3 linked regions of the Drosophila melanogaster genome follow. Changing the gene in region 1 together with any one later gene gives a genetic interaction. Each region holds a gene or a part of one and is shown in the gene's direction. Other genes may lie near its edges. The genes, in order: thr, Sse and Spc105R.

The links.
Region 2: of thr (region 1) and Sse, changing one suppresses a phenotype caused by changing the other (phenotypic suppression), as found in Drosophila melanogaster (one study listed by BioGRID).
Region 3: of thr (region 1) and Spc105R, changing one enhances a phenotype caused by changing the other (phenotypic enhancement), as found in Drosophila melanogaster (one study listed by BioGRID).

What each region holds. Positions count from the first base shown.
Region 1 is NT_033778.4:17,859,300-17,870,506, reverse strand, and holds thr (three rows), read left to right. Parts: upstream 1-4,543; 5' UTR 4,544-4,656; coding exon 4,657-4,956; intron 4,957-5,011; coding exon 5,012-6,001; intron 6,002-6,059; coding exon 6,060-8,909; 3' UTR 8,910-8,993; coding exon of another isoform or gene 8,994-9,178; 3' UTR 9,179-9,234; downstream 9,235-11,207. Other genes in the region: mapmodulin, read left to right, coding at 1,699-2,075, 2,138-2,220, 2,419-2,724, 2,948-3,181, 3,254-3,297; CG14490 (uncharacterized protein), read right to left, coding at 8,994-9,178, 9,300-9,708; orai, read right to left, coding at 10,713-11,207. UniProt on the Drosophila melanogaster protein: Required specifically for chromosome disjunction during all mitoses; maternally provided protein is sufficient until mitosis 14 then zygotic protein is required.
Region 2 is NT_037436.4:5,656,243-5,665,472, reverse strand, and holds Sse (separase), read left to right. Parts: upstream 1-3,225; 5' UTR 3,226-3,318; coding exon 3,319-3,391; intron 3,392-3,475; coding exon 3,476-3,671; intron 3,672-3,734; coding exon 3,735-4,206; intron 4,207-4,263; coding exon 4,264-4,623; intron 4,624-4,677; coding exon 4,678-4,976; intron 4,977-5,033; coding exon 5,034-5,359; intron 5,360-5,415; coding exon 5,416-5,594; 3' UTR 5,595-5,773; downstream 5,774-9,230. Other genes in the region: lin-28, read right to left, coding at 8,354-8,437, 8,500-8,650, 8,720-8,868, 9,018-9,154.
Region 3 is NT_037436.4:20,796,382-20,808,583, forward strand, and holds Spc105R (Spc105-related), read left to right. Parts: upstream 1-4,028; 5' UTR 4,029-4,097; coding exon 4,098-4,124; exon of another isoform or gene 4,125-4,161; coding exon of another isoform or gene 4,162-4,185; coding exon 4,186-4,289; intron 4,290-4,341; coding exon 4,342-5,087; intron 5,088-5,163; coding exon 5,164-9,478; intron 9,479-9,540; coding exon 9,541-9,993; intron 9,994-10,052; coding exon 10,053-10,290; 3' UTR 10,291-10,472; downstream 10,473-12,202. Other genes in the region: CG3698 (uncharacterized protein), read right to left, coding at 948-1,970; tzn (tenzing norgay), read left to right, coding at 2,409-2,607, 2,762-3,609; CG3634 (uncharacterized protein), read right to left, coding at 10,918-12,202.

The sequences.
Region 1 (11,207 bases):
CTTCTAACGTGTTTACCTGCACGCCATCGCCTCTAGCCATCCCGCTCCCGCCCACTCGAAGTGGCAAAGAAATGCAGGCGAAAAGACAAAGCCGCTGATTAATAAACATGCGCTCTGGCTGGCCGGCCAGCCTACTCAATCTCAATCAGCGGTCACCCAACCGCCCAGCCACCCACTGCCCGCCCAAAATGCACCCCACAACAGCGAAGTCAGCAGAAGACAAAAAATAGCAACGTATACACACTCATTCGCGCCTAAGTCAAAGCCAAACGCTGTGTGCATTCATTTCCACTCATTTGCTCAAATACAGTAGACACTCTCTACTGTTAGCTATATTTTAGATCATTTGCATTCCCCACTTTGGTGCTTACTAGATCGATCAATAGATCGAGCACAACCGAATTCTTAGCCGTGAATTTCATACGAACATTTTTTTCATTTCCAATTTTTATAAATTATACCTTTGGGGAAGTGCCACTTTGTTTCCTTTCCAAGAGTTAAATTTTTTGTTTAAACTACACCATATCCATAAAAAGATTCTTAACATAGTTAAATTGATTCCATTACCAAAAACATGATTTTGAAGTTCATCAAACAATAAGTTATTTATATTACAAAGTATATCAAACCGAATACAGATTAGGTTTTGCAGTCAGTTTTTATTTACAATTTTATATTTTCATATTCAATTTTGTTGATAATTATTAAAAATTGTGTTGAGCTACAGTTAATTTTCTTTTAGGATATACCAAGATTCTTGCCACTTAGAAATAAAATAAATTTGAACCATAATTCAGGTTAGAAAGTGTCCGCTGTAAGCACATAACTGTTTCTCGGCTAGACAGAGACGGACAGACGGACTCTGAAGGCACCCATTTTGTTTCTTTGTTGTTGGTTTTGTTGTGGCGTCGTGACATATTGATAATTGGGTAATCTGAAGTGAACTTGCACAGCCTCCAAAAGGCGTACGTTGTGTACATTTATTCATTTGTAGATTATCAGACCACAAAACACCACCCACTCTCACCCCCACCCACTATTCGCAGACAGGCGCAACAACTAAACTACGTCACGGTCAACCATGTTGTTGTTGTTTTGTTGCTGCGAGTGCCGGCTAGTCTTGTTGTTCCCCTGCCATCTCCCTTCCACTTCTTGATAATTCCGTTTTGCTCGTCATTCTTCTCTTTGCGCATTCTGCTTTGTGTCGAAGCACACGCACACATACACACGCTTGTGGCACACACACATATATTGGGGTTACATAAACGCGAGTTGGCACTTTTTCCTCGTCGCCTGCATTACAAAAATATGCAATTTGGCGATGGAGCAGCAGCAATGTTTACCAAGTCATTTGCATTAACGCCAAATTGGTTATTTTGCATGTAATTTCGTTTTGCATTTCAACAAAAAAAAATTTCTCAGCGTTTGATCGATTTTTGCGTATGTATTGTTCTCCATTTTTTTTTTCTGTTCGCTTTGCGTCAAAAAATGTTACAAATGTGACCAGACTGCGAGGCTTGAATATTCCACAATGAATACATCAAATATACCAAAATAATCGGTATCGTTTGTTCTTGTCTTCAATAACTAATATCGATAAGTAATAATTGGTTTAAAAATTATTCAAAACTCGTTTCATATAAATAAAATGAACTACTTCTAATTTATGTATTTACTCTCAACCCTATTATAACCTAGATCACAGAGCTGAATCTGGACAACTGCCGTAGTACAAGCATCGTTGGCCTTACAGATGAATACACAGCCTTGGAATCGCTTAGCTTGATCAACGTGGGTCTCACCACACTGAAAGGTTTCCCCAAGCTGCCCAATTTAAAGAAGCTCGAACTGTCCGACAATCGGATTTCGAGTGGCCTCAACTATCTGACCACTAGCCCCAAACTGCAATATCTCAACTTGTCTGGCAACAAGATAAAGGATCTGGAAACCCTGAAGCCCCTGGAGGAGTTTAAAAATCTGGTTGTTCTGGATTTGTTTAATAACGACGCTACTCAAGTGGATAATTACCGCGAGAAGATCTTCAAGATGTTGCCATCGTTAAATTTCCTAGATGGGTGAGTTTGAGTAACTTCTTTCTATTGTAGAACAATAAAAGTAACTTCTTGACCACTTCCAGATTTGATTGCAACGACGAGGAGGTGCAATCTGATGGCGATGATGATGATGAGGTCAACGGCAACGATTCCGACGAAGTGGGAGGTGTGTATTCGACGTATTTATAGAGACCAAAGATTAAATCGCAGAATTCAGGAGTTTTTTTTTTATAAAAGATTTCCATGTAACCACCATTAAAATTCCATTGTCCGTCTGTTTAACTTAATCGCTTATTGTGAATCGCGCTTTCTTCGTATTAACAATAATATCATATACTCAACCGTGGCTTTTGTCGCCTTTCAGATAAGTGCAATGCATTCTGTTTAAATGGTTTAGAGATCGATTTAGACGAGCTCGAGGCTTTCGAGAAGCGGGTTAAGGCGAAAAAAAGTTTGCAGGACAAACCACCTCCCCAATCGGAGGACAAAGAAGTAGACGAATTAGATGAATACTTGAAAGAGTTGCAGCTAAGGGAATCTACTGATGCTTCAACCGATGAACAATCTGTGATAAATGCCACACCGCAGCCTCCTAGCAATTCTAACTTAAGTTTTGTAATCCTGCTGTATTGGTTCCTTGCCATTTTAAATTTGGGCAGTGCTACATATTGTAAGCATAACGTTTCTGAACTTTTCTTCAGTATTAGTCGAACTTCTCTAACTCGAAAATGCTGCAGAAAAAGTAAAGATTCTCTTACCCACAAGAAGCGTTATAGTAGTTCGTAGGTTTGTTGATCTCAATTCCGTTGAACACATTAAAAAATCGATTTAGGGAAGTTCGAGATGTACAAACAAGCAAGTTGGTTTAATCAAATTTACCTTTGATTTTTCAGTTTCCGACGAAGATGACGACAGCGATGATAGCGACGAAGAGGCGAATGGTGAAGTGTCCCTGTCGGAGGTGTACAATGACGATTTGGAAGAGGATAACTCTGATTGGGAAGGCGAAGACGAGGCTGGCGAGGAGGACGAGGAAGAGGATTCCGATATTGATGATGCCGATGGTGATGCAAACGAATCGGCTGCATCAGTGAATGCCAAGGACAAGGATGGCGAAAAGGAAGCAGGTAAGTTCAATTATTTATATCCCAGACAGCATTAGTTCTTAATGCCATATATTTTCCTTTTTTTCTTTCCAGACGAGTCGCAAGTCAGAGGCAAGAAGAGAAAGCATGATGGTTAAAACCCTGATCTGTCGGTATAGCGTCTTTGTACGTTATAAATTTAAATATACACCCACACACAAAACAAAAACACACACACACATCATATTTTGATAGAAAAAGATGATAAATCCTTTAGGAAACCCACAATTTGTTTCTCTAAAATGTAAGCTAATGAAAGAAGAAATCGACAAAAAGAAAAAACAACAAACAACCCAAACAAAGAGGAGCATAATGAACGTAATAATCAAACAAAGCTAAACAAGAAAAAAATACATGTTTAAGCGAGAAAAATCGAGGAGGAATGCAAAGGAAACCAAGCAAACAACCAATTAAGCAAGTCGCATTAGTATAGCCTCATCCGAGCCCAAGTTCCAGTTTCATTTTAAACACCTTCGCCATCTTCAGGATTCGCAACATGAAATCCAAATCACTATGTTAAAGATTACACAATTACAACGTGTACAATTTTTAGCCATCCAGCAGCATCTTGTTTTCAAATTTCAATCAGTCACGAAAATCAAACAATAGCTTTCCGGCGTTATTTGAACAACTGCGGATTTGTCAACGTTTCGCGTGAAAACGATCACACAATTTACTGCTAAGAACTTTTAACTAACTCTTAAGTCATTCCTTCTTTAAATACGCATAAGTTAAGCATCCTACTTCGCCCACTTTCTGCTCAAGGCGATTTAAACACACTTACATTGTTACCCATCACCCACCTCCCAGATACACAAACTTTATCTCCGCGTCATTCTGTAAACGTAGAGCACTCACTTTTGAGCAACCCGAATTGTTTACCTTTATATACTTTTAAGTGTACTTTTACCACATACCGAAATGTTTCCACTTATTCATTGGCAGTAGTGTTTTCATTAAATGTGGCGAGTAAATCTTATACACAAAACAATTTTAGACAAGACTTTTCATTTAATACACAAGTAATTAACCGATTATTATTAAAGCAGGCCCCGCGTTAATTTAACGAGATGAGATGTGTCTTTACCAGCCCATTGAAACTGAAATACATAAACTACATCATTTTAAAATTGTCTTTTACGGGGGAAAATGGGAAAATGATTTCTATTAAAGAGAAGAGCTTACGCATATGAGCGTATTTTTTTTTATTTAAATCTCGATATCAATAAAGCAACAAATTGTATCGTTATCGGAAATGAGCATGGAAGTTTAGTATTTTCCACAAGAATTTGTAGTATTTGTGTTCTGATATGAAAACTAGAGATATCGATGTTATCGTTAAAGGATTTCCAGCTTTAGCATGGACGGTCACACTGGATCTCAAAATCTGGCGCAAAGCAACAAAAAAGGAAGCGTCGCAGTTAAACTAGTTAAATGTGCCAATTCCCTTTGAAAAAATGTCTACTGATATAGCCACCCAGCTGAAGGGCAGCCGCTCCGATGTGGAAAAAGTCCGCAAAACGGTGGAAGCCAAATTCCGGGAGTTGTCTGGCGATGGACTACCTCTGAGATACGAAGTGAATGTATTGCGCCATATTTGCCTCGCCTTAAAGGATAATCTGCACCAGAACTCGGATCTTTACTGCGACATCATGGGCATAATGCTGCCACGCGTAGTTCCCTGCGAGGAGAAGCCAAGCTTATGGGAAGCGCACTTGTCCAGCCTGCGGTACATACATCATGGCTTGTTTCATCAGGTAGGAGTCGCTATAAGAATCTTCGAATCTTTCTAACCAATTCTCCCGTTCACAGCGATCCATTGAAGCCTGTCAGAAGCTGTACAACCTCATCCGACAACAACCCTGCCGTCTGCAAGAAGAATCAGACTACAAAATATATCTGGACATACATTTGACCCACTTCAATGGTTTCCATGTGCTGCTGCAGAAGCAAAAACTCCCCTTGGAAGCTACAAGTCAATTGTGTTATGCTTTGGAATCATTGGGAGATCTATTCGCAGCCATGACGCAAAGGCAAATAAGTCTATGCGCAACGCTTCTAGTTCAACTAAACGAGAGTTTATTTGGCAAAAGAAGTAGATCATTCTTCAAGTCCCTAAGCTTCCTGCCGTCGGAGAGTCTTGCCAAAATGTTCAACGCGCTGCTTATGCTCCTGGCCAGCAGCACCAGTTCGAACCTGGCCAACTTATTCCCTGAGTGCCTGAGTCTCACGTTGGCTCTCGTACAAATCGACATGTTCAGTCCACAGTCCAATCAACAGATGTCATTGCAGCTGCTGCGCATGAGCAAGGAACTATTTCGCCAGGAATCAAACCTGTGCTATGCTCTACAGCTGATGTACTACTATATCAAGTTAATCTTTGTTCGGGAACCCACAGGCGACTTTAAGCGCACCTACATTGACTTGTCTAGCAAGTTTCAGCACTTCTTCGAGCACAAAGTAGCCTCGCATGCCAAAGAACAGTGGCTAGCGGATTTTCTGGTGGCCATTCAATTGCTACAGGTGCTCATCCATCAAAGTAACAGTAAGTTGCAGAGTCCTTTTCAGATATTTTGGCAGCAGTTTGACGGAGAGAGCAGCCCCGATATCTACACAGCGCACTTTCAGTTGCTTCAGACGTGTGCTAGCTTGGCGGTTAATATTACGAGGAGTCCTTTGGGCTGCACTTGCTCCCACGAGGCATGCAAGAGCGTGCGACGGCACTGCATATTGGCGTATGGATTGTGCGCATTAGATGCGTATATTAATTGGAAACCGGCGGCGGAGCAGAAAACAAATGTGGTGGGTATTTTTATCTAATTTTGTGGAATTTTAATGCTACATTTCAATACTATTGCAGAGCCCTCACAAGCCCTTACTGGGAGTAGTCAAATACTCAATGGATGTAGCTAAGACCATGAAGTGTTTGGGTCCCACCAGTGTGGAGATCATTAAGCTAGTGCGCCAGCTGACATACGTGGCTGATCAGGTCACCTGTCCGGAGCAAATGTCCGTGCTGCTGCCACTTTTGGAGCCACTGCAGAAGCTGCGACCTTTGGTTGCCGACCAGGATATGAGCAGTTTACTCCGACGCCTCTTTAAGGCCAGCTCCCATTGCGGCGATTCCAATATAGCATGTCGAATTCAAGCCAGTTACTTGGCCTCGATTACGAATCCGGCACGATTAAGATCACAGGTCTGTTTGTACTATCACAATCTGGGAAAAAAGGGCACCGAGATCAAAAGGTGTGTCTACGAGTGGCACGAGTCCACGCCACTACCTTTCCCTCTCACTCCGGACCAGAAGAAACAGCTGTATGATACCGATTTCTTTGCCTTACTACACTATTTGAGGAGTCCTTCTACGGCTCATATGGAATCACTTATTCGTTGCCGAACGAGTGACTATCATCTGGTACTCTTGGCCAGACAAATGCGAAAGGATGACTCGATTTCGAAGAAATGCATAGAGGTTCATGATAAGCTAAGGCAACAACGTTCGCTCAGTCGAATGGATAACTTGTGCCTGGGCCACGCAAGTGTGGGACTACTACTGGACGCACTGGAGGCTCAAAAAACCAAAGTTTCCACCAAGGAGATAACGGAAAATATGTTCGAGGAGCTGCTACTCAGCAAGAATTTATGGCAGATGAACATACAAAGGGAGCAGCGATTGGTCAACTATGCTAGTGAAGCCATCTCGGCCTTCAGCAACTTCTTCGATCGAGCAGATCAAGAGCCATTGAGCGCAAATGAAACGTCTATTGATTGGGAGGCATTGATTGACGATGCCATCGCTACTGCCAATGCACTTTCAAGTATGGGGTATCAGTCAGAAGAGGATGATGCCTGGCTGTTGCTTCTGAGGATGGGTCGCTTGCTGGAAGATCGTTTTACCTATCTGCGTGCCCTAAATCATTTTCTGTCACAGAATGAGGTTAGTTCTCGTTTAAATCTGAAACTCGGCGAGGAAGTGGAAGTAGCAGAGGAATTGCTGGATGATTTGTGGCCTCAATTGAAAAATGGCAAATTCTTCAAGCGTCAGCAAACTACGGTAATGCTCTGTTTTTGTCACCTCGCCAGTTACTATGCCAGAATGGAATGCTATAGTCATGCCCAGTTGCTTCTATTGCATGTGGAACAACTTCGCGAAGAGTTTCCTGAGAGACAAGGAAAAAGTGATATTGTATTGCTTACACTGCAAACGGTGCGCTTTCGAATTGGGTATCAGCAAAGGAAGCCAACGAATTGCAGGCTGCCGACTCCTCTGCGTCAATTGGACATTCTTCTGGACAATGTGCGAAGTTTTTGCAATCTATCCAGTTTAGATGGCGGCTCATTGCAGCTGCTTCTTTCGACTCTTGTCAGGGAAAGCACCGAGTGCTCTGCGAACAGATTAAGCGAAAGACTGTCCTTCTCCAACATTGCACTACATTTGGTACTCCAATCTGGCTTGGCTTTAAGAGCCATAGAGGTATTCCTTGCATGGTTATGGACCAATTTGCAAATGGAAAGTTTCGACAAGGCGCAATCGAAGTTGAGACTCATCGAGCATTGTTTAGGTATAAAACAGCTGAATCCAACGAGTAGGCCGGAAAAGGAAGCGATTAAGGATGTAGCAATTAGAGATCTGGCTAGTAATATGCATCTCCTCCAGTTGGTGGAGCCGATCAGAAAGCAGCAGCTATTAAATATGGCCTCGCCGAATCTGCTCAAAATGCGACCACATAGCCCAAATCCCCAACTGGACTTGGATCGCTACATAACACTCGATGTGGCGCCAGCGAATCTTCGAGAGAATTCCCAGCTGCAATGCTTGTACTTTGTAACGGGCTGTCTACATGCACGTCTCCGCTTTCTGCAGAGAAACAGCGAACAATTGGACGAATTCTATGGAAGAGCGCATAGTTGGATGCAGGAAAAACCTCCGATGAGTAGCGCTTTGTATCCCATGTTGCATGCCCAGCAGCTGTATCATCTGAACTATCTTCGCTTTGCGCGAAAGCATGTAGAGGCTATATCAACGGCTCAATTGGGCCTTAAAATGCGATCACGCGCGGTCGACATTAACTTCGAGTACAATTTTTTGGCTCAGCTAAAGACGGCTCAGTTAGAACTCAAACCCGTGGGTCAGGATAAGCCACAGGTCAAAATCCTTCGACGTGCTTTGGTATTCAATCACTCACCCGAAGATAAGAAACGAACCGCAATAGGATCGGTTTCAGCAGTCAAGAATACGGCGTCTAAAGTTAAACAGTCGGCCAAAAAGGCACCTCGATTCAGAATTTACGAGGAGCTGGAACTACGACCACCAAGTGCTACCAGTTGCAGTAGCAGCGGTGGCAGCGGAACAGAGAATACACCGCCTTCGGATCACGTGGATCTAAATGCCTGCCAAGCGATCGAGATAAGCGACGATGACGATTCACCTTTGGTGTCCACAAAGAAGACACAACCAAAAAGTAGGGAGAAGGCAAAACCCAAGGCCACATCCAAAGCTTGTAAAGTCCTAACATTGGATAATAGCTTGGAAATAGTAGAAACGCCGACAATAACTACAAGTACACGGAGCACCAGAGCCAGGCTGCGCCAACCAGTAGAGACACCAAAGACAGCGACTCTTTCATCCAAGCGAACGAGGCGCCAGGTTTTGGAAGCACAGGCTCCCGAAACGGAGTCCATTAGCACACGCACACGGCATCGGCACTGATTAGATAGTAGTCTCCTTAGTTCGTATTTATTCTTATCGAAAATGTCTTGGTATTTAAATATATATATATATTGTGTGTAAGTGTTACAAAAGAGCTTTTGACATAAATTCATTGTTTTTATCTTGTGGCAGGGACAGTAGTGACGTTCTACAGATGTCCTTGCTCCAAAAACCGTGCTGAATCCGCTGTCCATTGCTGGCATGGTAAAATACACCTGAGCCCGATTTGCAGCCTCCTTCAAATTGACCCACGTAGCGATTTCCCGTTGCTATGGATAACATATTAACTTATTATCTATAATCTTTATGCATTTTTAAAGTTGCGAAAAAATAAATAAAATGAAACAAATACATCCAAAGGAACATATCTTATTTCTTTATCACACTCACCCGTGAAAAGTAAACCCTTTTCGTGCATCTTGTCCCGAAGCCACTCGCCCACATAGATGCCGCCATCCGCCTGCCATAGGATGCCCTCTCCACTTCGCTGGTCCGCTAGCCACTGACCAAAGTAGACGGATCCGTCCGGATAGAACTGCTTGCCCTCGCCACTCCGCTTGTTCTCCCGCCACTGACCCACGTAGATGCGTTCCATGCGGCCATCGAGCTCCTTGCGACGCAAACTTCCGATGCCATGCCGTTGACCCTTCTGCCAGTGACCCTCGTAGACAAGTCCACTGCTCGTTTGCTTTACCCCAAACCCGTGAGGCTGCTGGCCCAACCATTTGCCCTGGTACTGCCCACCAGGATAACGTTGAGAGCGAACTCCACTACTATATCCGCTCGTACGCGACGACATGTCTTCGATGACTGAGCGCGGGAGCAAGTCCGTCCAATTGCGGCGGTGCCATGTGGTGTCGTCCGACTTTAGGCGGCGGTGTGCGTGCGGTGGTGTCACTTGTCTAATCGAACCCCCCCAGCCAGCAGCAGCATGTCTTGCCACCATTTGGCTTCCTCCAGCAGCGACACGCTAACTTAAGGAGGCCAAAGACATTGGCTCAATAGAAAATCGTTTGTTCCGGTTAAGTGTATGTAGTAAAAATCGTTTAATCAGTCGTATATAAATTACAGCGCTATTTAGCTTACATCGGTAAAGATCGAAAATAGACTGTTATATTTTCCAAAACTATTGGAATACCTATGAATATAATTCGTATATAAATATTGCAGTACATTTTCAAATACTTTATTTTACAATTGTTTTATGTTGCATATAAAATATATCAAATTGTCTCTAAAATTTTGCATTCTTTTAATCCGCATCTATTGTTCAGCTATATATCACGATTAAAAATAAAACTCCAACACCATATATATAGAAAATTCTTTTAATCATAAATTATATGGTATAAATTACAGCGCGGTTTCGCTTACACAATTGGCTTAATATTAAATTTGACAATCAAGTTGTGTCTTAAACGTAAAAAGGGAAGACTGCCTAAGGATGGTTGCAAAAAAAGAAAATCCGGCATGGCATACAATTTAAAATACACGCAATATAAATATGTAACAAATATCAGCTAATTTTTTGAGGAATATTCATCCGAAGTATTGCTTTAATTGGGGTCTTTTATCATTGTCAATATCCGTGCTAATCCGCAATTGCCATAAGTAAAATAAAGGACTACAGCAGCACTCGCACATATATATATATATATAGTAGAAATCTACTGAATTCCGCGTATCACAATTTTAATCAACTACAAATTTACAATATGTGTGTTTCACTAAAAATAATCTGAAGCTTACCCTGAGCCGCTGTCTTTTTCGTTCGATCCACTTGTGCGGATACGCCAAGTGATGCTAGACAATGTCCCCGGATGCGCCATAGTTCATGCCATTATTTCGTATGTTATTGTGATGCTCCAAATGATCCTGCTCCATCTGCTCCTTGAGCATCTCCAGCTCACGGATGCCCGAGACTGTCACCTCATATTTGTGCGACACCAGGGAGCGATAGAAGTGAATGGCGAAGGCCATAAAGATGATCATCACCGGTATGAGGACCACACACGCTGACCAAGCCGCCGGCGGACTTAGGTCATAGAATTTCACCCAGCACAGGATGGCTATCTCCAGTAGAAAGAGTATGAGTCCCAGCAGCGTGGAGAATGCCCACGCCGTTTCAATGTACCAATGGAGACGCTCGTGTGGCGATTCGTGGACCAGGGAAATACTATGCAAATTACACACCGTCTCAATATTTGGCAGGATACAGGTGCTGATCATCAGGGCCAGCATGTGCACCGCCACCAGGAGGGTGGTGCAGATGGCGAAGGCTATCAGCATGCCCGGTGG
Region 2 (9,230 bases), on another chromosome or scaffold:
ATGTGTGAGTGCGTGCGTGTGTGTGTGTGATATATCCTGCTGGTATGTCCTGGCCTATATGGCGTATACGTATGTCGAGTGTATTATTTATGCAGCAGAATGTTCTTTGCTGATACTGCTGTTTTCTTCTGCTTCTCTAGAGAGTTTTACTCCTTTGTTTGTCCTTTATTTTTGCTCTGCGTTTTCCTGTAGTCAGTTTTTCACTTGGTGCTTATTAACGGTGCGTATGATTAACTTTTGTATAGCTTAGTTGATTTTATCTTTTGTAGTTAGGGATTTTCCTCTTGCTTTAGTGCCTGCGATTAGGATATAATTTGAAATTTTGTTACGGATCTGTTGTTTTATCCTGTGGCCTTTGATTTGGCAACGCCTTTCGCGGCCCACCGAAAAAATGTTCGTTTTTGGCCTGCTTTTTTCGTATGTTTTCGAAACTAATTTCGTTAATTATTAACTGATCACTTTTCACTTTATTTTTAGGAATTTTCGGTGTGTCTGAGTTCGATTTTCGACTGGAAATAACGAGATATTCCGTTTTTCGACACGAAACCGAGAAGGATGAAGGCGCTGTGTATTTTCGTGTAGCCAAAATACCTACAAAACTTGACGAAGCCCAAACGAAATGTTTTCACTTGACGAAACGGGAGAGCAAAGCGGTGGCGAGAAGAGAAAGCGGGCAAGAGCGTAGAAAGAGAGCAAAGTAGAGCAGGAGATGAGCGTCGAATTACAGCGACAGCCGAAAATTGCTGCCCCTCCCCCTCTCCGACACTCCTCTTTCTTCTCCCACAGGCTTATATTTTAATTTCGATTTCTTTCTTGGTTTTCCGTCGTTATCCTTTATTTTGTATGCCCTCAGCCTCTGCTTCTTCTTCTGCCTCTGCTCCTGCTTCTCTCCCTGCGAGTGTGTGTGTGTGTGTGTGTGTGTGTGTTGGCTTAGCTTAGAGGTATGTGCAGTGGCTTCAACGCCCCCTTCACCCCTCTCTTTTCGCTGCGTGTGTGCCTCAAAAAAGTTGCATAAATCACCACACCTTAATTTACTTAAATGTCTTTTCTTGTTGCGGAATGTTTGTTGCTTGAATTTTACTTGATTAATTCATTTTCGTCTGCCTCGTGGGCGTTTTATCCACTGGGGCTGAAAAGTATGCTACGCTCTTTCCGCTTTTTCAAATGGCTTTTCTTAGGATTTTTCTTATTATTTCAGCTGGTTTTTATACTTAGTTATTTTCTATTTTTTGTGAAGCTAGTTAAAAGCTTTATTTTGTTTATATTAGTATTTTTTGGAAGCAAGAAAAAGCGACAAAACACAACCGTCGACGTCGACTTCGAAATTCGTTTTGAGTCGCTCAAATGCAGAGGGATGCTGCGACGCCGACTGCGCAGTCGACCGCGACATCGCTGCAACTGTTGGAATGTGTGCCACACACACACACACATACTCTCGGTATTTTTTTTGTTTTTGGGGTGGCTTAGCTCTTGTTGTTTTTGGCCTTTCGTTACATGTGCTGCTGTGTGCGAAAGTTTTAATGTCTCCCCAATGCATATGTGTATGTGTGTGTGATTTGGCGTACGTGTGTGTTAATGTAATATTAATGTTATAATTTGCTAGGCGGAAAGGACAACGAACGTGCCGAGTTAGCGACATTAATAATGCAGCCAAAAAACATAAAGGATAAAGGCCAGTGAATTTAAAGGGGGGCTTGGTGATAGGGCTGGCTTAGTGGTGTGAGGGGGTGGTGTCTTTTCTTTTCCATCATGACAATCAAGCTAAAAAATTTCCGATTAAAGGATCAAGCCTCTCTTTTCCAACACTGGCCCACCAGGCAAAAGTTCTTGAACAGCACGTTTCCCGACAAAGTAAAAGTGAAAAGCAACATCAAAATTAATAAGTAGAAAGGATGCTGACGCTCGCGTCGCTGTCGCTGTCGGCAGTGGCAGCGGCCGCAGTAGCGGCAGAGGCAAAACCAAAGAGAGCAAAGGTCCTTATACCCCTGCGCCAATTCAATATTTATCGAAGCTTTCGTTGAGTTAAAACAGCGACCAGCTGCAGCTTCTCTAACGGTAATTATTCGCTCTAGCCGCTTGCACTTCAAAGTTTTTAAAGGTTTAACAAATGTTTTTGCATATTTTGAATATTGTTAACAACTCGTTTTAATTAGCAAGAAATACTTGAAAATTGTATTTCAGAAATAGGCGTGGCATCAAAGCTCGAGCCGCCCACTCGCATCGGTTAAATACCGTTATCTCTTGCTGCCTCCAAAAGACGTCATTAGAAAACTGCAGTTTGCAGCTGACGTCGGCAGAGGCGGCAGCAGAGCTCCAGACGCACGTCACAAAGTCTTGGAAAAAGTACATATTTAAAAATCAACAAAAAAGCCAGCTTAAAAGTTAACCAAAAGTCAAAAAATAAAATATTGTATCTCGGCTCGCATATGCATTAATTGGCCGCCTATATGTACGGTATGTACATATGTGTGTACTTGGCTTTTGTTGTTGCGTAAGGTTTTTAGGGCAACTAGAGGGTGTGGTTTAGGGTTGCCAAAAACTAAAAGGCTTTAAAGGCTAAGGGTTGACCCTCGGAAATGAATATGAACTGCATTTGATGGGAAAATAGCGCTAATATATTTTAATCAGACACTAAAACACTTGAACAAATATTTAATTGATGTTAAGGCTCCATTTTGAGAGGGTGTGGTTGCTGCGCAGCTTCCGCTGCTCATCCTTATTTAGGTGGCGTGGCAACCCTAACATCTGTTTTCCGGCCAACCTGCAATCTCTTGCACCTTTTCATCTCGATTCATGTTTTTATGAATGAACGGCCGCAAACATCAACAAGAGGGAAAGCTTTTTGCTGACAGCAAAACAACAAAAACGGGTGTACTAAAAGCTATAATGCCTTAAATCGTACGATTATAGTTTATTGGGCATAGGATGTTATAAAATTCTTAATTACTTTAAAACTACATAACTATGATCGTAAAAATTACAAGTTATCTGTAATTAATACAGTAATATGGCGTACCCGAATTGCTTGCAGAAAAGTAAATATTAATATTCATATTTTTAATTAAGTTTCATTTTTGTTAAAGCTTACGAATTTGACTAATATTAAGTACAATGCTTTTCACAATAATAACCGCGAAATTCAAAAAAAGTACTAGAAAATACCACAAAATGAGCTAGTTTCCTATCGCACATCGCCCATCGATAGCTCAGTGTTGGTAAAGGCTACAAGGCATCTATCGATATCGTCCGAAGAGGAGGAAGCAATTTGCGGACTCGAGTTTGAAAATAAGCAATTAAGTAAATAATAAATAATAGGAAATGCTGGAAACCGGTGACGAGGCTGAGATGCTGGCCGGTTTCACCAGTTCAGATGTTGGCCCCGAGGCGAAGGGTAACTATATAAGCAGACCCAGAAACTTCGAAATTCCCACTGCATCTTCGCAATAATATGTTAATGTTCATGTTTCTTCTGCAGAATATAATTTACTGCGCGCCGATGAGGAATACCGCAATGGCAATGTGGAGCACTCAATTTACTACCAGGTTAAAGCCCAGTTCCAGTCCACCGATCTGCGTTACCTTACCGAATCGGCGGAACTGGAAAATCAGCGTCCCACCGCAGAGGAGCTGATCAAATCAGCCACTAAACTGGAGAAAAAGGACTACAAAAGGTGATATATAAACTAACTAAACTCTTTTAAAACTCAAACAAACATTACCAACATTATTCTTAGCAAAAAATTTCTGCAGAACATCATCAAGTACCTCCAGCAAATGGAGCAGGAGAAACAGCCAAAGAAGCCAATCAACGAAATACCAGAGTATCTAGACTTCCTGGATGATGTCCAGGATCCTACAGAGGGTCTAACTCGCATTTCAGAGAAATGCAATAGTCTGCCCCAAGAATGGTGTGTCCTCCAGCTCTGCAAGAGCTTTAATCCCGCCACCACCTACTCCGTTTTCAATGAGATCATTGCCAGCGATGGAGCAATATATCTCACTCTGCTCCGACACTGTAGAAGTTCCCAACTGGGACCGATTTGCCTGAAAATTTCCAACGAAAATACGGCAAATCTCTTTCGAGAGTATAGCACTCTGGTGGAAAGATTTAGGCGAGTGGTAACCGTGGATCCACTCAACATGAAAGGTAAAGAGGCTAAGCAGAAGTATTGGGAGGAGCTGAATGGTTTTGACACTTTTCAGCAAGTAAGTACTACACATTAATATCAATGTATCTTATTAGCATTACTTTACCTCTTCTAGAAACTACTTGCCGACTTTCGGGACATAATATCTCCATATTCCTTTCTGTTCTTTGGCAAAAGATATGACTGCACTGTTGTTCAAAAACAAATCAAAGCCACCTATACTCGTGTTGACGATTTCTGTCTGCTTAATCAATGGGGTACCCACCAACGTGTTTTACTTTCCCAAGCGGCCTCGCATGCCAATCGACTGGAAATCGCAGATCTCAAACTCATCTGCTATGAGCTGTCGAGCAACGAAAATGAGATCCAGTCGGCATACGAATTGCTTAAGGGTTTGGCCAGCGACTGGGCGGAAGTGGAGGAGCGTCAGCCCCTGGCGAGCAGAAGATTTCCCATCATCCTGGTAGTCGATGAGGTAGTTCATCTGAATTTCTATACTATAATACATACTACTATATTATTTATGTAGCGTCTAGACCACCTCCATTGGGAACAACTAGTCACCGTGCAGGAATTCTCCCGCGTCAAATCACTGCATTGCCTATGGCGCTTGTTCCAGAATCACAAATCAAACATAAAGCATGGCTACTACACAACAAATATTAAACGTGGCATGTGTGTAATAAACCCAGATGCGGATTTGGTCAACTCCGGCCGCAGGCTGCGTAGCTTTTTTGAGTACTGGCTCTCCCAGTGGCAGCATCTTTTTGAAACCGTGCCCAATGAGGAGGTGATGGTGAAACAGGCGCTACAGGCGGATTGCTTTGTGTAAGATATGATTGCAAGCGAACAATGGCATTCTAATACTTTTGCCTTAAATTTTAGATACGCAGGTCACGGTTCTGGGCTGCAGTACGTCAATGGTCGCATAATTTGCCGGGCTCGGGTACGCAGCGTTGTTTTTCTATTCGGCTGCGATTCTACACGCATGTTGGGCACGGGCCTGTACAGCGCATTGTATGGAGCCCATGATTATTACCATGGAGCTCTGTGTCCTTCGATAGTTGGTACTCTCATGCCCGCCTTGGATGGTAATATGGATACTGTTTCGGTGACAATATTGAGTCGTTGGTTGGCCCCGGGGGATAACAAAGTGATTCCGTGGACACATATTGATCGGGTGCCTTGGCTCAAAAATGGCATTATAAAAGGTAATGTCTTATTTATATTATTAAGTTACATATTTAAGGAATTCTTTTAAATTTAGGAAAAGATGAAACCACGCCCACCATGAACGATCAACCCAACTACCATCTGGGCAGCCTGTGCTCTATCCTATCTCTCGTACAGCAAGGAAAAGTGGAGCCGAATATCTACAACTGCTGCATTTACGTGTGCCGCGGACTTCCCGCATGGAATTTGGCCGTGGAAAAGCTGCCTTTATAGCTCATTTCGTCGTGGAGTCGATCTCCCTAAGCAAAGTTTTGCGTATGGAACTGTGTACAATAATTTAATTTAATTGAACTACTTCATTCAAGTGGAAAGTGGTGCTCAAAGTTTGCATTAAACGCTAAATGTAACACTCAGAATAGTAAAAATAAACTAAACATTTATATATTAGGAAGAAATTCCAAGGCACTTACCTTTTCTTAGTTTATTTGGAAGATTGAGTGATGTTTCCTTATGGATTTAGCACTTTAACTGAAGTGTCCTTGATTTCGGTTAAGTTTTTAGTTTTAAGTAGAAGTTTTAAACATGTTTAGACTTTGTACATTGTGTTGTTGGAACTTTAAACCGTTTGAGAACTATTTAGATTAATTGATTTAGGTTAGAGTTTTCGTTTTCCTTAGTTGGAATCATGCCAGATACAGAGTACAGATTCATTCTTACATTTGCCTGTGCAAGAGTAGGGAGTGAAAAACATTAATTCGAGTACAAATCGCAATGTGGGTGAGGTAAAGTAAAAAAGTGAAAGTGTGGTGCAAACGACAGTCAGAGAGAAAGATATTGAGTGAAGGAAACATTGAGAATTTATAAAAATGCAATATAATTGAAATGCGAGTGGGGATTAGGCTAAACCCTCGTCCACGGGGCGAATGTGCAATAATGCCTGAATGCCCAGAAACGCCCATATATTTATTTACTCGCACTCGTACTCGGGCTTGTCGCCCAGTTTGCTCTCCAAAAACGCGACTCATCTCACCTCGTTCCCATCCTCGTCCTCGGGTTGCCCTTTTGGCCAGAGCTTTTCCCCCACCGAACCTGCGGCGACCTCCAATCGCCCAGCATCGCATCTACTTGACCTACTAACGCCTGTCGCATTATGACACACATTCGTTAATTAGGCCCAACCCAATAACTTCTTTTCTTCCCAGCCATCTAATCGCCGAGCGCGCGGCGTATGCGTAATATGCGTGTGTTTTTCTTTTTTTGTGTTACGGCCTCGATTTGCATGCCATAAAAAAAGGCAGACACACCTTGGCGCGTCCCTATTTTTATGATTTACCAATAGCTGGGATGGGCGGCCAGTGTCCTTCGTCCTTCGTCGTGGTGTCTCAATGCCGTGCCCATGCAGCGAGTTAAATCAAATTAGCACCCGTAGGGGCAGCAAATCCGAGGTGCATGCCATGCCACACCCCCAAAACACACACACACGCAAACAGACACACACTCACACGTACGCGAGAATCGCGAAATCGAGAAATGGGGACAGGGAACAAGGAACAAGGACTTGGAACATGACAGGAGACAGCGTCAGAAGGAGGATATTACATAACAGGCGCTCCCCATGTAAATCTGGTTGTAAATTCCCAGTGTGTGTGTGTGTGTGTGTTTGTGTGCCTCTGGGTGTGTTGGTGTTGTTGTGCTCTTGTGTGTGCTTGTGTGTGGGTACGAGTGGTTGTGGTTTGGCCCAAATGAATATGCGATGACGTTGACGTTGCTATTGTTATTGTTATTGTTTTCTATCAGTGGATGCTGATGCTTTATTATTGTTTGCCCAGTTAAAAAGGTAATTTTCTCATTTTCTTTTAACCTTGAACTCTTAGTTTTCGCCAGCATTTTTCCTTTCCATATTTGTATAACTTATGCGTTGAAAAACTGTTTTCATTTTATGCCAAAAAAAAAAAATTGTACAAACTTTTTCCGTTTACTTTGTGTAATTTTAATTTTTTTAATGGTTTTTTTTTTGGTTTTGGGGTTTGTGGGTTTTTGAAAATTTGTTGCTGAAACGCTTTGTTAACTTTGTTGAAATTCTTTTAGTTGTCTAAGTTATTGTTTTTGGTTAAGTTTGATAATTGGACTTGAGGGTCCTTTATTTTTGGGTCTTCATATTTTTCTGTGTTAATATGGTGTAAATGTAAATTCCGCCGCGTTGCACACAACAATTCTCTGGCAGAGATCAACTGAGACTGAGCTCGACGCTGGCCTTAGTTGCATCCTTTTGGGTATCCTGCTCCTGCTTCCTTGGCGAAGGACAAAAATCGCGAGAGAGCGAGCCCGAACAAAATGTTGCAAACTAAACCACAACAAAAACAGCCAAAAGGGCCAAGAGCCAAGAGGCAGAGAGGCAGCTGGAGAAAAAGAGAGAGAGAAAAAGAGAGCGACCAAAAAAAGGCAGGACTTTCCCTTTCCCTGCTCCTCCTGGCCATGTCCTCGCCCAATCCGTTTGTTGTTGCTGCTGCTCACTATGTTTCACTTTCAGGGGGTGGTGGGTGCTGACTTTAGCGCCGGGAGCGGCGGGTTTCAGGTTTCCAAGCTTACACAGTGATTCTGCGTTTTCATGGTGATTCCATTTGTAGCTGTTTGTTGTTGCCCCAAGGAAAGCTCCATTGTTGTCAGTGGCCACGTGACTCGCGACCAGGACTTTCTTATCAGCACAGAGCTTTTAGTTCGGCCCCAGGGTGCAAAAGCTCCGATTTCAAAAAACAGACCAAGGGATGCTCTCTAGCTTAATTCGTTTACTTGGGATCTAGTGAAAAACCTTAGCAACTATGGTTCCTAGAAAATAATGTTAAAATAGAAAATAAACTTAGGATAGGATGGTTTTCGGGGCGCGTCTCTTCCCGCTAATATCTAAGTGTAGTAGCTAGTTTTGTTGTACGTGGGTTTCTTTGATTTGATGCGTGTTTTTTCTTAGATTTCCATTTTGTACTTGTCAAGGAAGTTTCTAACTTCCAACTACCAGTCCAAGATCCAAGGACTTCCTAGGTGGCCTCCTCGCTCTTCTCTTGGGCTGCACTGCTGCTGCTATTGTTGCTTATGCTTTTGCTATTACTGTGGCTTTGGGTCTGCGAAACGATGTGGGCTTAGTCCTCGAAATGGGGCTGTGGAATCGTAGAGGAGCACTTACCACATTCTTGTGCGGGCAGTCGGCATGGAGATGGTCTTCTCCACGGCAGCGATGACAGCGCTTCGGCTGAGGACCCAAAGCGCATTCGGAGGCAATGTGATTGGCGAATTCGCCGCAGTTGTAGCAGCGCATGCGGCGAGTCCGGCGATTTCTGTTGGGTGGTTGGTGGGTAGGTGGTGAAAATGGGGAAAATTAGTTAAACGATTGGGTATGAGCTCACATTCGCGGCCTGTAGGTGCTGCCTTGGCAGCTACCGCCATGCCTGCTGGACACCCTGGTGGCCTCCAATCCGCGCGACGTGCGCTGGCACTCGAATTCCACCTCCTCCTGCTCGCCCAGTGATCGGAAACCTGACATCTGGATGACGCTCTATATGCATACGTTTATAATGAGAATTATATTGAATTAATGCATTAAATATTAAATTATTATACCGATTTTCCATATTCTATCGGATAGTACATAAGGCCTTGCATTAAGGAAAGACCTCAGTTTCATCCAAGAAAGAGAGTACCCACCTGATGGACGAACACCTCCTGGCCGCCGTCGTTGGGTGTAAGGAAGCCCCATCCCTTGGCCACGTTGAACCATTTGCATTTGCCCAGTCGCACACAACCGCATTCCTCGGTGGGACTCGCAAGATTTGCCGGATTCGCTGGAGGGAATAGAAAATGAAACTTGAGTTCGGTGCCCAATTCGATATCCTGTCTGGGAATCCCTCTGTTCAAGGT
Region 3 (12,202 bases), on another chromosome or scaffold:
TCATTCTACCTGATCTAGATCAGATTTGTTTATTTGCTCTTTCTAAATTTGGTATGCAGAGTTCTTGGGAAATTTTGGCCAAAAATGAATGAAAATTTGAAGAATGAAATCTGATAAAATCAAAGCACCATTGATAAAAAAAAAGACGGCTGTTTCTCACCATTACATAGAGAAAAATTGTCCAACGATATTAATATTTTCACTATATATTATTTATATTCAAGTTCTATATTATTTATGGCTAGCTTTAAATGGGATTTCAAATTCTCTTGTGCATCGTTGTTTTCTAACGACTTTATTAAGCGAAAATTGTAAACTAATTATGCGCTGCCAAACGAAATTCCCGCGGGACACAATTAGTGTGTTTTTTATTTTTTATTTTGGACATATGCTTTCCCCGGCCGCAAAATGAGCAAATAAATCATAAATGTTTCATTCAACGTAATTGAGCCAGAACTTACCCCTAAGTTCTCCTTCTCCGAGGGGCAGGGGTGGGTCACCATGCCTACACTTCTGTGAAACGAGAAAAACAATGTAATCCGAGAAGGTTTTTTGGAATGTGCGTAATATTGTGTGAAGGCTGCGAGGTGGAAAAACTTCTTCAGTTTTAGGGGTTGTAATGGCTCCGCCTACGGGAACAAGTGGAAGTGAAACAAAACGGTCAACGGAACAAAATTGAAATGAAACAGATTCAATGGGGGAATCCTTTTAAATTTATAGTTCATACAAATATTGATTATATACAAATATAAAAAATATGTATTTAATAATATTATTGCCTGATATTATATATTGCATTATATTACATTTGTACAAGCAGTTGTAGTTTTCTATCCTTAATTTAAAATGAGTAGAATTTATATAAAGTCCGTACTTATTTTTAATATAACAAGAAAAGCACTTCGAAAACGAACAATAACAATTTAACAGCGTAAACGAAACGAAACTCAAACCTCTTTGGCCAGCTTATGGACCTGGCGATAGTTGACGTCCACCAATCGTATACTGCCGCCCACCGTGGCCAGCGGTTTCATCAAGTTGTTCAGGGTGGTGGCCACCGGATCGAGGATGTCCCTGGCGGAGCACAGTACATTGTATAGGAAAATCAGTGGTGGCTGCAGGTAGCCGTTGAAGAGCATGGTCAGGAGGGGCTTGAGCAAGTAGTCGGAGGTCATGTGGAGCAGTCCAACGATCAGGGTGTTCACCAGGGAGTAGAGGACAAATCGGTAGCTCTGCAGAATGAAGGCTACCACGAAGGCCACGGCGATGTGCAGCAGTCCGAAGAGCTCCGCCCAGAAGTGGGTGGCATAGGTGGTGGCGCGGTCGGCCAGGACAATAGCATTGATCTTCGGATGCGAGTCCGTGGTGCTCAGATAGTCGGCGCAGCCATGCTCGAAGGGATAGATGCCGATGCAGGTGTGCCGGTTGGCCTCCTTGCGATTCCACTGTGGCTCCGGCAGATCGTCGATGATGGAATTTCGGCTCTGCGGCTGGCACTTGCACATCTTGTCCAGCGACTCCACTAAACGGGCTAGAAAGCCACTCTTCTGCTTCTGCTTCTGCGCCTGCGATGATTTGTGGGACTTTGTGGCACGACCCTTCACTTTCGGCGCAGTTCTCGTTGGGACGAGCACACGGGGACGGCGCTTGGAGTAACGCTGGAACTCGATCCTTTGGGGCTTGCTCTTGCTCAGGCTAAGCTGACTCTTCCCCGGCTCAGCGTGCATCTCGTACAGAGTGTGTGGTGAGCTCCCCGAATCCGTGGACGCGGTCATTTCCCCGTGCGCCACATCCTTGAACATGTTGTACTGCGTCTGACTGTGCTGATATGCGTCGGAATCGCTGGAGGAGTTCAGCCGTGGGAAGATCTTCTTCAGGGGAGACTGCAGCTTGGCCGTCACCCCCACGTGGTTCACCTTGATCAGGTTGGACTTGGAGGTGGCGCAATGGGGATCGGTTGATTCCGACATAGTGACTTTATGTTCTAAACTTATGACGTGCCGCTTCAAAGCCAACTGACGTCTTTTTCGTACATATGATCTGAATTCAAGTTAGGCGTGCCAAAAAGTTAACTTATAAGCTTTTTACCACAGAAGAGAACATATACTCTTTGGCCTAGAGACAAGAATATATAATTTAATATAAAAATGTATTTTTATTATTATTGGCTTATGTCTGTGCTATAAAACTTTTCATTTCCGGTTTGAGCCACCACTACGTTTGCAGGTATGTTTCGGTATATTTCCGGTAGATGGTGTACCCGTCAGTGGTTTCCCTTACCGGCCCCCAAACGGTCACACTCGCCCGAGCATAGCAGATTTGGAGAAAAAAACAACTGTAATTAGGAGCCATAATTAATTCATTTCGAATCGCACACGCTTTTCAGTTTATCTAGCCGAAAGTACAGAATGTTGGCCTCCGCCTGGCGCAGCGTGGCCACCTCCGTGGAGACCCAGTTGACGGCCACCTACTTCCGAGGTTCGTCCAGCAATCCGACACTGCTCCTGCGTTCCTGGCGGACGATTCCTCGAGCGGATGCCCCTGGTTTCGGAGCGATTCGGCGGCGTTTTCTGGCTGTGCCCGTCATCTGTCCAAGTCTCGTCAAGCGTAATCTATCCGTACATACGTGTTTAATCTAATCTCTCCCGGTGCTGCAATTTCATTTCCCAGTATCTACGCTTTTTGTTCGTCCGTAGCTAGTCAGTCTGTTTATCTGTTGGCCATCTATGTAGCTAAATGTGAAACCATCGCTTCGTTTCAGTGCAAAAACTACGAAAAGTCGGCTTCAGAGGCATGCACAGCACATTGGAGGACGTGCAGCTGGAGGGCATGGAGATCAAGATCCTGCCGGCCCTGCAGGATAACTATATGTATCTGATTGTAGACACGAAGACGCGCGAGGCGGCCGTGGTGGATCCCGTGGAGCCGGAGCTGGTCATTAAGACGGTGCAGGAGCAGCAGCTGACCCTCAGCAAGGTGCTGACCACGCACCATCACTGGGACCACGCCGGTGGCAATGAAAAGCTGCTCAAGCTGTGGGAGAAGGAGCTGGACGTGTATGGCGGCGATGACCGCATCGGGGCATTGAACAAAAAGGTTCAGCAGGACGACACCTTCACCATTGGTGGTCTGCATGTCAAGTGCTTGTCCACGCCGTGCCACACTACCGGCCACATCTGCTACCACATCACCGCGCAGCAGGGCAGCGGCGAGGGAGCCGTCTTCACCGGCGACACCCTCTTCCAGGGCGGATGCGGCCGCTTCTTCGAGGGCACTCCCGAGGAAATGTACGAGGCGCTGTGCACAAAGCTCTCCGCCTTGCCGGACGCCACAAAGGTGTTCTGTGGCCACGAGTACACGCTGCAGAACATGAGCTTCGCCCGTCACGTCGAGCCCGACAACGAGGTCATCCAGCAGAGGATCGAGTGGGCCAAGCACCGGCGCGCCTCCCAGGATCCCACTGTGCCCTCCACCATTGGCGAGGAGAAGTCCTGGAACCCCTTTATGCGCGTTCACGAAGCCACCGTGCAGAAGCACGCTGGCGGAGCCACCGATCCCGTCGTCACCATGGGCAAGCTGCGCAAGGAAAAGGACACCTTCAAAGCCTGATCTATTTCCTCGAAAGTTTCGAAACTTGTGATTTAATATTGGATTTTAATGGTTAATAAAATTAACGATGTGTGTGAAGTGCGGACAATGGATTTTTAATTATTCGCAATTTATCGGATTAAAACTTTTTTTGTTTTATTCAAATTATGACATAAATTTATTTCTTCAGCTTTATTTAAAAGAATTTATTTTTGGTATTTTGGTCTAGCAACACCCTAGAGAAGAGGGTACTGGTTGATTCCAACTTTATTCATAGAGCAATGAACTTAACAAATTTTTTAAATCCAAAGATTTTAGCAAATTTCGTAAAATTTGAATCACAACGGTTTTGGTTAGGCGTTAGTGCCTTTTGGGCATATCAAAAATACTTTTGGTATTTCTAGCGATCTATCGCCAACGATCTGGCAACACCGTCTGCCATTAACACAAAAATCGCGGCGTCTCTCCAATGGGATTTTGAAATAAAAACAAGTTAACAGCACGGCGCGATGAACGCAAACAAACGCAGAAGTTCGGTGGGTTCTTCGAAAATTAATTGATTGAGAAGCGCTCATGGTAGACCTACTCTTCTTGCAGCTGCGTAAGGTGCCGACCAAGGAAGATGAGGCGACCACAACAACGTCCGCGATCAAACAACAAATCAAGCGACGCATCAGTTTCAGTGGCAAGAAGTCCGTGAGGTACGTACAGTAGATATATGCGATGTACAACGCTCACCCGCCCTCCACATAGGGAATTCGTAAACACCAAGGAGACCAACAACTGGGACGACTCGTACGAGGTGTCGGAACACCATGCTGAGGACAGCTCGGGATCGAAGTGCTGCAGCACAGGATCAGCATCAGTAGCGAGGGTTTCCGAACATGCCGACAAGGAGAACATTCCCCTGCCCAGCCACTGCGAGCGGGAACATGTCGATCTGTCCGTGAATCTGCAGGCCAGCGTGGATTTCACCCTGCTGCCCTGCGAAATGATGGACAAATCGAGGAAGACATCCTCAATCTCTGCTGTGTCCTTTTGCATGACCTCCGAGGAGCGAAAACTGTTGCAAAGCAGTCTCAGCGACCGCCAGCTGGTAGACAAGACCATGGATCTGATATCCGGATCTCTCGTCAACCGCCACCAAATCGCGTCGAGCGTTTGTGAGGAATCCTCCATCAAAGTGGCAACAAACAAACTGGAGAAGGTGGTATTCACGCCAGCTGTCAAGGCTGTGAGTGACTCCTTCATGGACATCACGCCATTGGGATTTACTGATCCCAATCCTGCTGCTCCCGCTCCAGCTCCAGTTGCAACTCTATATCCTCCAACTCAACAAAGTTTAATGGAGCTCGAAGAGGACAGCATTGTAAGGGAGATGCGTGAGTCCACCAAAAACCAGACAAAAACTCCGGCGCAGAAATCGCTTTTCATGGACGTGGGGGAGACCAAGAATAAAACCCAACAGGGAGCTGGAGGTGCATCCTTCTCATTAAATGGTTAGTATTATCTCAGTTAAATCCCTTCCCAATAGTTTCTAATTAGCAAGTTTTCGGTTGTCACATTATTTTGCAGTTTCCAATAACCGAGATCGTTCGCCATCGAACTCCTTTGAGAGCCTTAATAGCACCATGAACTTTACGAGAGATGAGTCGATGCTGATACCATTCGACATGATTTCGGGGAAAAACATAAGCAAGAAACTCAATTTTCGTCAACTCAACGAAGACCTGGAGACGGGTAAGATCCAGATATTTCCGAACGGGCCAAAAACGCCGACCACGGATCGTAAGGCCAAGAAAAATCGGTTTTGGTGCGGCCTTGAAGAGGAGAGCGCGGGAGATAATAGTCCAAAGAAAGATATAAGAAGCATAGTGCCACGAGGAATGTTAAATTTCAGTGAGAACATGACCTTGACGCCGACGAAAACAAGTCCAGTTGGAAAGAACAAGGAGAAACTAAAGGCGGCGGATGAGAAGCAGAAGTATCGACTATCCCAGGCGGATGAGATGATGCTTGACAATACAAACTTCTTGGCCCACGCCAGACTAGGCGACGAAACGCAGTCGAGAAATACGTCGAAGAACTCGACAAGAAGGGAGACAACTTGCGAAACCTCGGAACTGAATTTGGAATATCCTACGTTAAGTCAGGACTTTCAACCCATTCCGAGTTCCAAGACTCGTAAAACTGATTTTATGGCTGAAGAAATGCAGCTCAGTCAGACAAATTACCCTGCTATTCCTGCATTGAAAACTGCTACCTCGCGTCGCACCTTACATCTCAATGAATCTATGGATCATGAAACAACGAAATCCACGTACGTTAGGAAGGAGATATCGGTTACCACGCAGGAGACTATCTACGAAAAATCCACAACCAACGAGCAGAACAGCAACCAAAATCGCAACACATGGGCCTGCACTAAAACCAAGCGCAGGGCGACGCTTTTGATGCAGGAAAGCATGGAGGAGGACATCATTAGCCCTCTCAAAAACTTACAATTAAAGCCCAATGCGGCTCCTATGAATACAGGGCAATCCAAAGTGAACCATACGCTGTATCTAGCAGAACCACTGGAGGAAGTGGACATAAACCAAAGTAATATGTTACCAACTAAAAATGTTGCCCCTAGAGAACAACTTAAAGCGAGGAAAACGCTGCTATTAGAGGAACCTATGGAAGAGGAAATGAGCAGTAACATTGGTTACAATTCCAAAAGAAAGACTCTCCACTTAGCGGAACCTCTGGTGGTGGAGGGAGAGGATTTCATTTTGGAAAAGCACATACCAATAAAAGTAGTCGCGCATCAAGAAAACAAATCCAAGGGTAGACAAACTCTTTTGTTCGAGGAGCCCGTGGAGGAGGAAATATTTCACAATGCGAAAGATTTACCGGAATGTGCTTTAAAGGGAAACAAGACTGGACCTCAGAAATACAGTCAATTAAACCAGGGGAAGAGTTTCACTTCGCAAAGCAGATCCAAAGCTAGGCAAACCCTCCTGATCGAAGAACCCATGGAGGAGGACACGGAATTTAACAATAAATATAATATTGCCAAACCTGGAGAGAACCACATAAGAAAGATCGCTAAATCCAGACAAACTCTCCTTTTGTCAGAACCTTTAGAGGAGGAAATGTGTCTTCCACCGCCAAAGAATAAGTCAATAGTGTCGCAAAAAACAATAGATAAATCAACCGAGCAGCAGCGATCAAAATCGAGGCACACGCTATTATTATCCGAACCTATTGAAGAAGAACATATTCAGCAGGACTTGCCAGCTGAAAAGGAGGATAGTTTAGCTAGACAGCAAAGATTCAAGCCAAGGCAAACGCTCATCATGGCAGAGCCCATCGAAGAAGATGTTGGAGAAACGGAACGTAGGGTGCAAACTAACATCACTGGTTCGTCAACTTCCAGACCAAGACACACTCTTTTGATGTCCGAACCGATTGAAGAAGAACTAACTAACGAAGATAAAAGTACGAATGCCAGCACAAATAGAACGTTAAGATCGAGGCGAACCATTTTGATGGCGGAACCGATAGAGGAAGAGGGCAATAAGTCTATCGCTGAAAAAATAGGTCAATTTACTAAAGAATCTTCTGAAGAAGCGGTATTTCAAACTTCCAAATCTCGTCAAACTCTGCTGATGGCAGAGCCTATAGAGGAAGATGTTTTCAATCAGTCAAATGATCAGCCAAAGCCACTTCCTATATCTAAGGATAAAATCACTAGGAAGACCTCTAGACGACACACGCTTATTACTGCCGAACCCATTGAAGAGGATTTGAGTGTTCGTAAGCCGCTGGAAAATTCAAAGGAGTCATCTTTGACCGCCAGAATTATTCAGTCATTCGCCGAGCCCATTGAAAATGCCCTATTTTCAATTACTGATCAAATAGCTAAACAGCAATTTTCCGAATCGGTTCAAACTCCTCCCAAGGAACCCCTAAACTATCTCCACCAGAAGCCGCGGAATACCCTCATCTCGCATGAAACTATTCAGGAGGATTTAGAACCCGTAAATGAAAACTCATCAGTGGGGCCTCTGAGGTCCAGGTACAGAAAGACCCTTATCATGGCAGAGCCCATTGAAGAAGATGTTAATAACCACAATATGACCAAACAAAATGGGATCTGTGACTCTTTAAATGTTCCACAGTCCGGTGGATATATGGCTGCCAAAACAAGACAATCCGTGCATATACCGGTACCCATTGAGGAGGATCATATTCCGGGCCAACAGCAAAGAGAATCCGAACCTGCGGTGAAGGGCAGAACTACGCTGCTGACTGAGTCCATAGAAGAAGATGTACCCGCGCAACACACTCGAATTTCTAAAAATAAATCAATGGGCTCGAAGGTTTCGGCGGAGCCTATCATCGAGGATTTGGATTCCAACAGACCAGAAATTTCACAATCCGTGGAAGAGACTTTACCCCAAAGAAGCCAGGTTCCTGATGTTCCGTCATCCAGAAGACATACGCTACTTTTATCGGAACCCATGGAAGAGGATGAGGGGATATTCGGACATAACTACCCCATAAGGACCAAGCACCAAATTTCCGAAAAGCTAGAAAAACCAGAAGGACCCATTCATTCATCTAAAAATTCCGTAGAAAACGAAGAGATAGGCACTCCTCCCAGTGCCAAGACTCAGCAATCCATTGCTATGTCCGAATCAATGGACTTTCAAAGCCCGCAGTTTAGGCCGAGGGGTCCGGACTTTAATGCAATCACGCCGGGAATGTCCTTGACTGAATTTGTGGATCAGGAAGAGATGTGCAAGACCCCGATTCACAAAAGAGTTCTCCTGACTTCCCATCGGAAAAAATTGTCCATGTACCAACCAGTGCCGATAGACCTTGAGGCGAATGCCTCCGGCTTTGGAACTCCAAAAAATCTCGTCCAACTAAAGCGCCTACCCACGCATCTCACGCCCAACCTTCCGGAGTCCAAGAAACGAAACACGCATCTGTTTCCGAATAGCAACATGGACATCGAATTGGAGGAGGATCAGGAAGGTTCTTGGGGGACAAAAAGTATTCAGATGCACACAGGGACAAGTAAATCACGCAGGACCTACACGGTAGACCAGTTGGACGCGTCGGTGCAGCCAGTAAGGGACTACAATCCTGTAGTGACTGAGATGAACAAACAGGGTGGTCTTAATATGCTGGAGCTGCCACGAAAATCGACCTATAACATGGATCTAGAGGAGAAACCCATCACTATCTCCGATGTTAATAATTACTTCCATGAGCAAAAGGAGCAGCAGCGCCAGTCTAGCGAAAGAGAGAGCGGCAGCTCCAACGATAGAACCTTCAAGAGCTACGCAGCAACAATCTCAAAATTCATCAATCTGACCGGGAACACAACCATCTTTGCAGCCGCAGAAGATTTGGGTGGTGAGGGGAAGGACCAGCCCCACCAGATAGATAACGAGCACCTAAGTCTGGTTTCCACGCTGGCGGAGGAAACAGACGATGATGGCGACGAGAAGGAGGAGGAAGAAGAGCAGAAGCAAAAACAGCATCTCTTACAACCTGAAATCTGCGAGGCTCAACTGAATTCAATGGTAAAAGCTGGCAGCGAAGGCTCCTGCAAAAAGTGCAGGAATTGCAATCATACTTTGAGCGAAACAAGGCTAAGTAGCGAGTCATTTGTCCTGCCACCTCGGAAATTGTGGGACTTTTCAAGGCTACAGCAACGGTTGCGCAATATAAGGCAGAGGCCGTCGTGGAAGGAAGTGAACACTTACTGGGAGATCGAGGAGGAGGCTCGTCTGTCCAGGAACCAAGACTCCGACGATTCAATGGAGCAGACCAGGGTGGAGGAGGAGGCCACCAAGTGGAACAAAGCGGCGCTTCTTGAAATGTGCAAGCTGTGAGTACCGAATACACTTGGAATTTTGAATCATTTTTTAACATTTACTATTTCTACAACAGAAGAACAGAAGAGAAGGACATAGCCATGCCCCCGGAATCCTTCTTTACGAGACTCAAACGTTTGCTAACCGAACAGCAGCCCAACTGGATCTTCGACTACCAGCGTAAAGTGTCCCAGCAAATGATATTTTACAACCGACAGCTGACCACGATCCGAATCGTGGTGAACTACCAAATCGAAGACTTAGTAGAGGAGTCCACCATTAGCGTGTGTTCCATTCAACTAGACAATGACGTGCCCACTCCCAAGGACCAATGGTCATCGCGTGAACACTTTTTAAACTTCCACCTAAGTCTCCGCCTGCCGATGAATCCTAGCGACGAGATCGAGGGCAGTGATGAGACGGCTTTCTTGAAATTTCTCAACGGCATTGATCGCAGAATTGCAGAAGTCAAGCAAAAGTTACACAAAGTTTTAGATCTTCTAGCGCAGAAGAGAGCGAGGCTAACAAGGTATAAGCTTCTCCAAGGTGTATCTCAATACATTACTAATTTAAGTGATCCCTTTTTAGAGAAGCAAATCGAACTATTGTCAGAAAGATAGTGCGAAAGTGCATCGACCAGGAACCCATCGTGCGTCTCGAGAAGATCACTTTCCTTATTGAAATCGGTAATATTGAGGACGTTTCCTTCACGGACATCCTACGCCCCGAACTGCATCTCTTCAATGAAAACATTCAGTATCTGCCCAAGGGAATTCCTTTCCTCGAAGCCTTTCTCACCGATCCCGAGCAGTACCTTAGAAAATAAATGCGTATGTTAGACTACCTTTTAAATTGTTTTAAATTAAAATAAATGCATTCGTCTGCGTTTTTTAACGAATTCACATTGAAAGTGTATGCGAATGGGCAAGGATTTCCACTGAAATCGAGCTTATTTATAAGAGCAACCATTACTATAAGTCCTTTGAACGAAATAAAACAAATAAAGAGCAAGGAAGGATTTTGTTTGAATTTAAGTTTACTCGCTTCTCGTACTCGTTTACAATAATTAAAATAATAATAAAACTTAAAAGTAATTTAGTTTCCTCTTGCGTGGCTGCTGAAAATTCGTTTCGTTCATCCGGATCACTTGGAAGCTGGAACTAGTTGAGTGCGTGTTTGCTTGCATTTGCTTTCTTTATGTTTATTTCACGAAGACAACACAGACATATTAAGATCCAAAATATATATACGTTATATATATATATATATATATATATATATGTATGTTTTGTGTTTAAGGTTTGTGTTTTGAGTGGTTCCGTGGCCTTCTGCCCGCTTGCTTCTCAGCCACATGGAGATGGATGCGTGTGAGTATGTGTGGTGTTCTTAGTTTTGTGTGAGTGTGTGTGACGTCATTCGAGGGTGGAAAGTGGAGGAGTGTGTGACCTCCGGCTTAGACGCGAGACAACTGCTGCAGCAGATTGCACGGCCAGAACGCCTCGATACGCTCCTTGAGCAGCTGAAATGGATACGATATCCAGGTAAGTACGGTCTGTGCCAAATGACCCATGGGCTCCGGATACTGGTGGGTGGCCAAGGCCAGCAGGGCGGTAATGGAGCACAGTCCCGCCGTGAACAGGATGAAGAAGGGCAGCTCCTTCTTAGGATAAACAGACACCTCGTGGAACGCCGGCAGCAGTTCGCGATCCGCGCACTCTGTGCATGTTGGATATGGATAGAAGAGGTGGCCACGCTCCAGCGGATACGGCAGCATGCGAAACGTGCCCTCCCAGGTGCAGTGCAGCAGGTTCAGGGCGCCCTCCACCTGCTTCCAGTGCTTCAGATGGAAGAACGCGTAGGCCAACGCCTCCGAATCGCCGCGCTTCAAAATGTGCTCTGGCGGTAGAATAAGTCGCTTTGTCTCAAGCAGATACTTGGGCACATGCGGATTGAACTCCACCGCCCGATGAATGGCCTCAACGGCGCTCATTTCAGCTTGACTTAGACCTCGCTTGGATGCTATGTCTGGCGAAAACTTGTCGGCTACGGCGCGCGCCTTCAGCAGAGCAGCTGTATAGCAGATAGTCGCCGATTTCGGCAGCGAGATGTCATCGTACTTGGCCAGAATGGCATGGCAATCGGCGTAGGCCTGCATCTCCAGCAGCGTTTCGATTAGATTCTCGTGAATGTTCAGTACGCTCATGATCGAGGGTATCTCCTTGGTGAGATCGCGAAACATTTTAGCCGCCTCCTTCAGCTTGCCCAGCTTGCGGGCGCACATGGCAAGCCGTCGCTTGATATAGATCAGCACATTGGTGTCGCGCCGATGCATGCCATCCGCAATGGCGCCCTGGTGTTGGGTGGCCTGCGACTTGCGGTAGTTGATCTCGGCGACCTTTAGGGCCGTCTTCAGGATCTTCTCCGCCTCCATAATGGTCATGGCTTCCTCCTCGGCCAGCAGTATATAGGCAGGTGCACATTCCGCATTGATTTCCAGAGCACTGTGAGCGGACTTGATGCGCTGCATGGGATTGCGTTCGCGCCAGGCCGTCTGCATGATCTCATACTCCTCCTTGCGGGCATCGCCTTCGCAGGTAAAAAATGTTTGATGGTCCTGGGCACTTAAGTTCATGTCGTAGTAGGTCAACGGCTCCTTGCTGGTGGCCCAAAAGAATCTCTGGTACTCGGCGCCGCGAAATAGATTAAGTGGATTTCGCCAGACCTTACACTCGGGCATT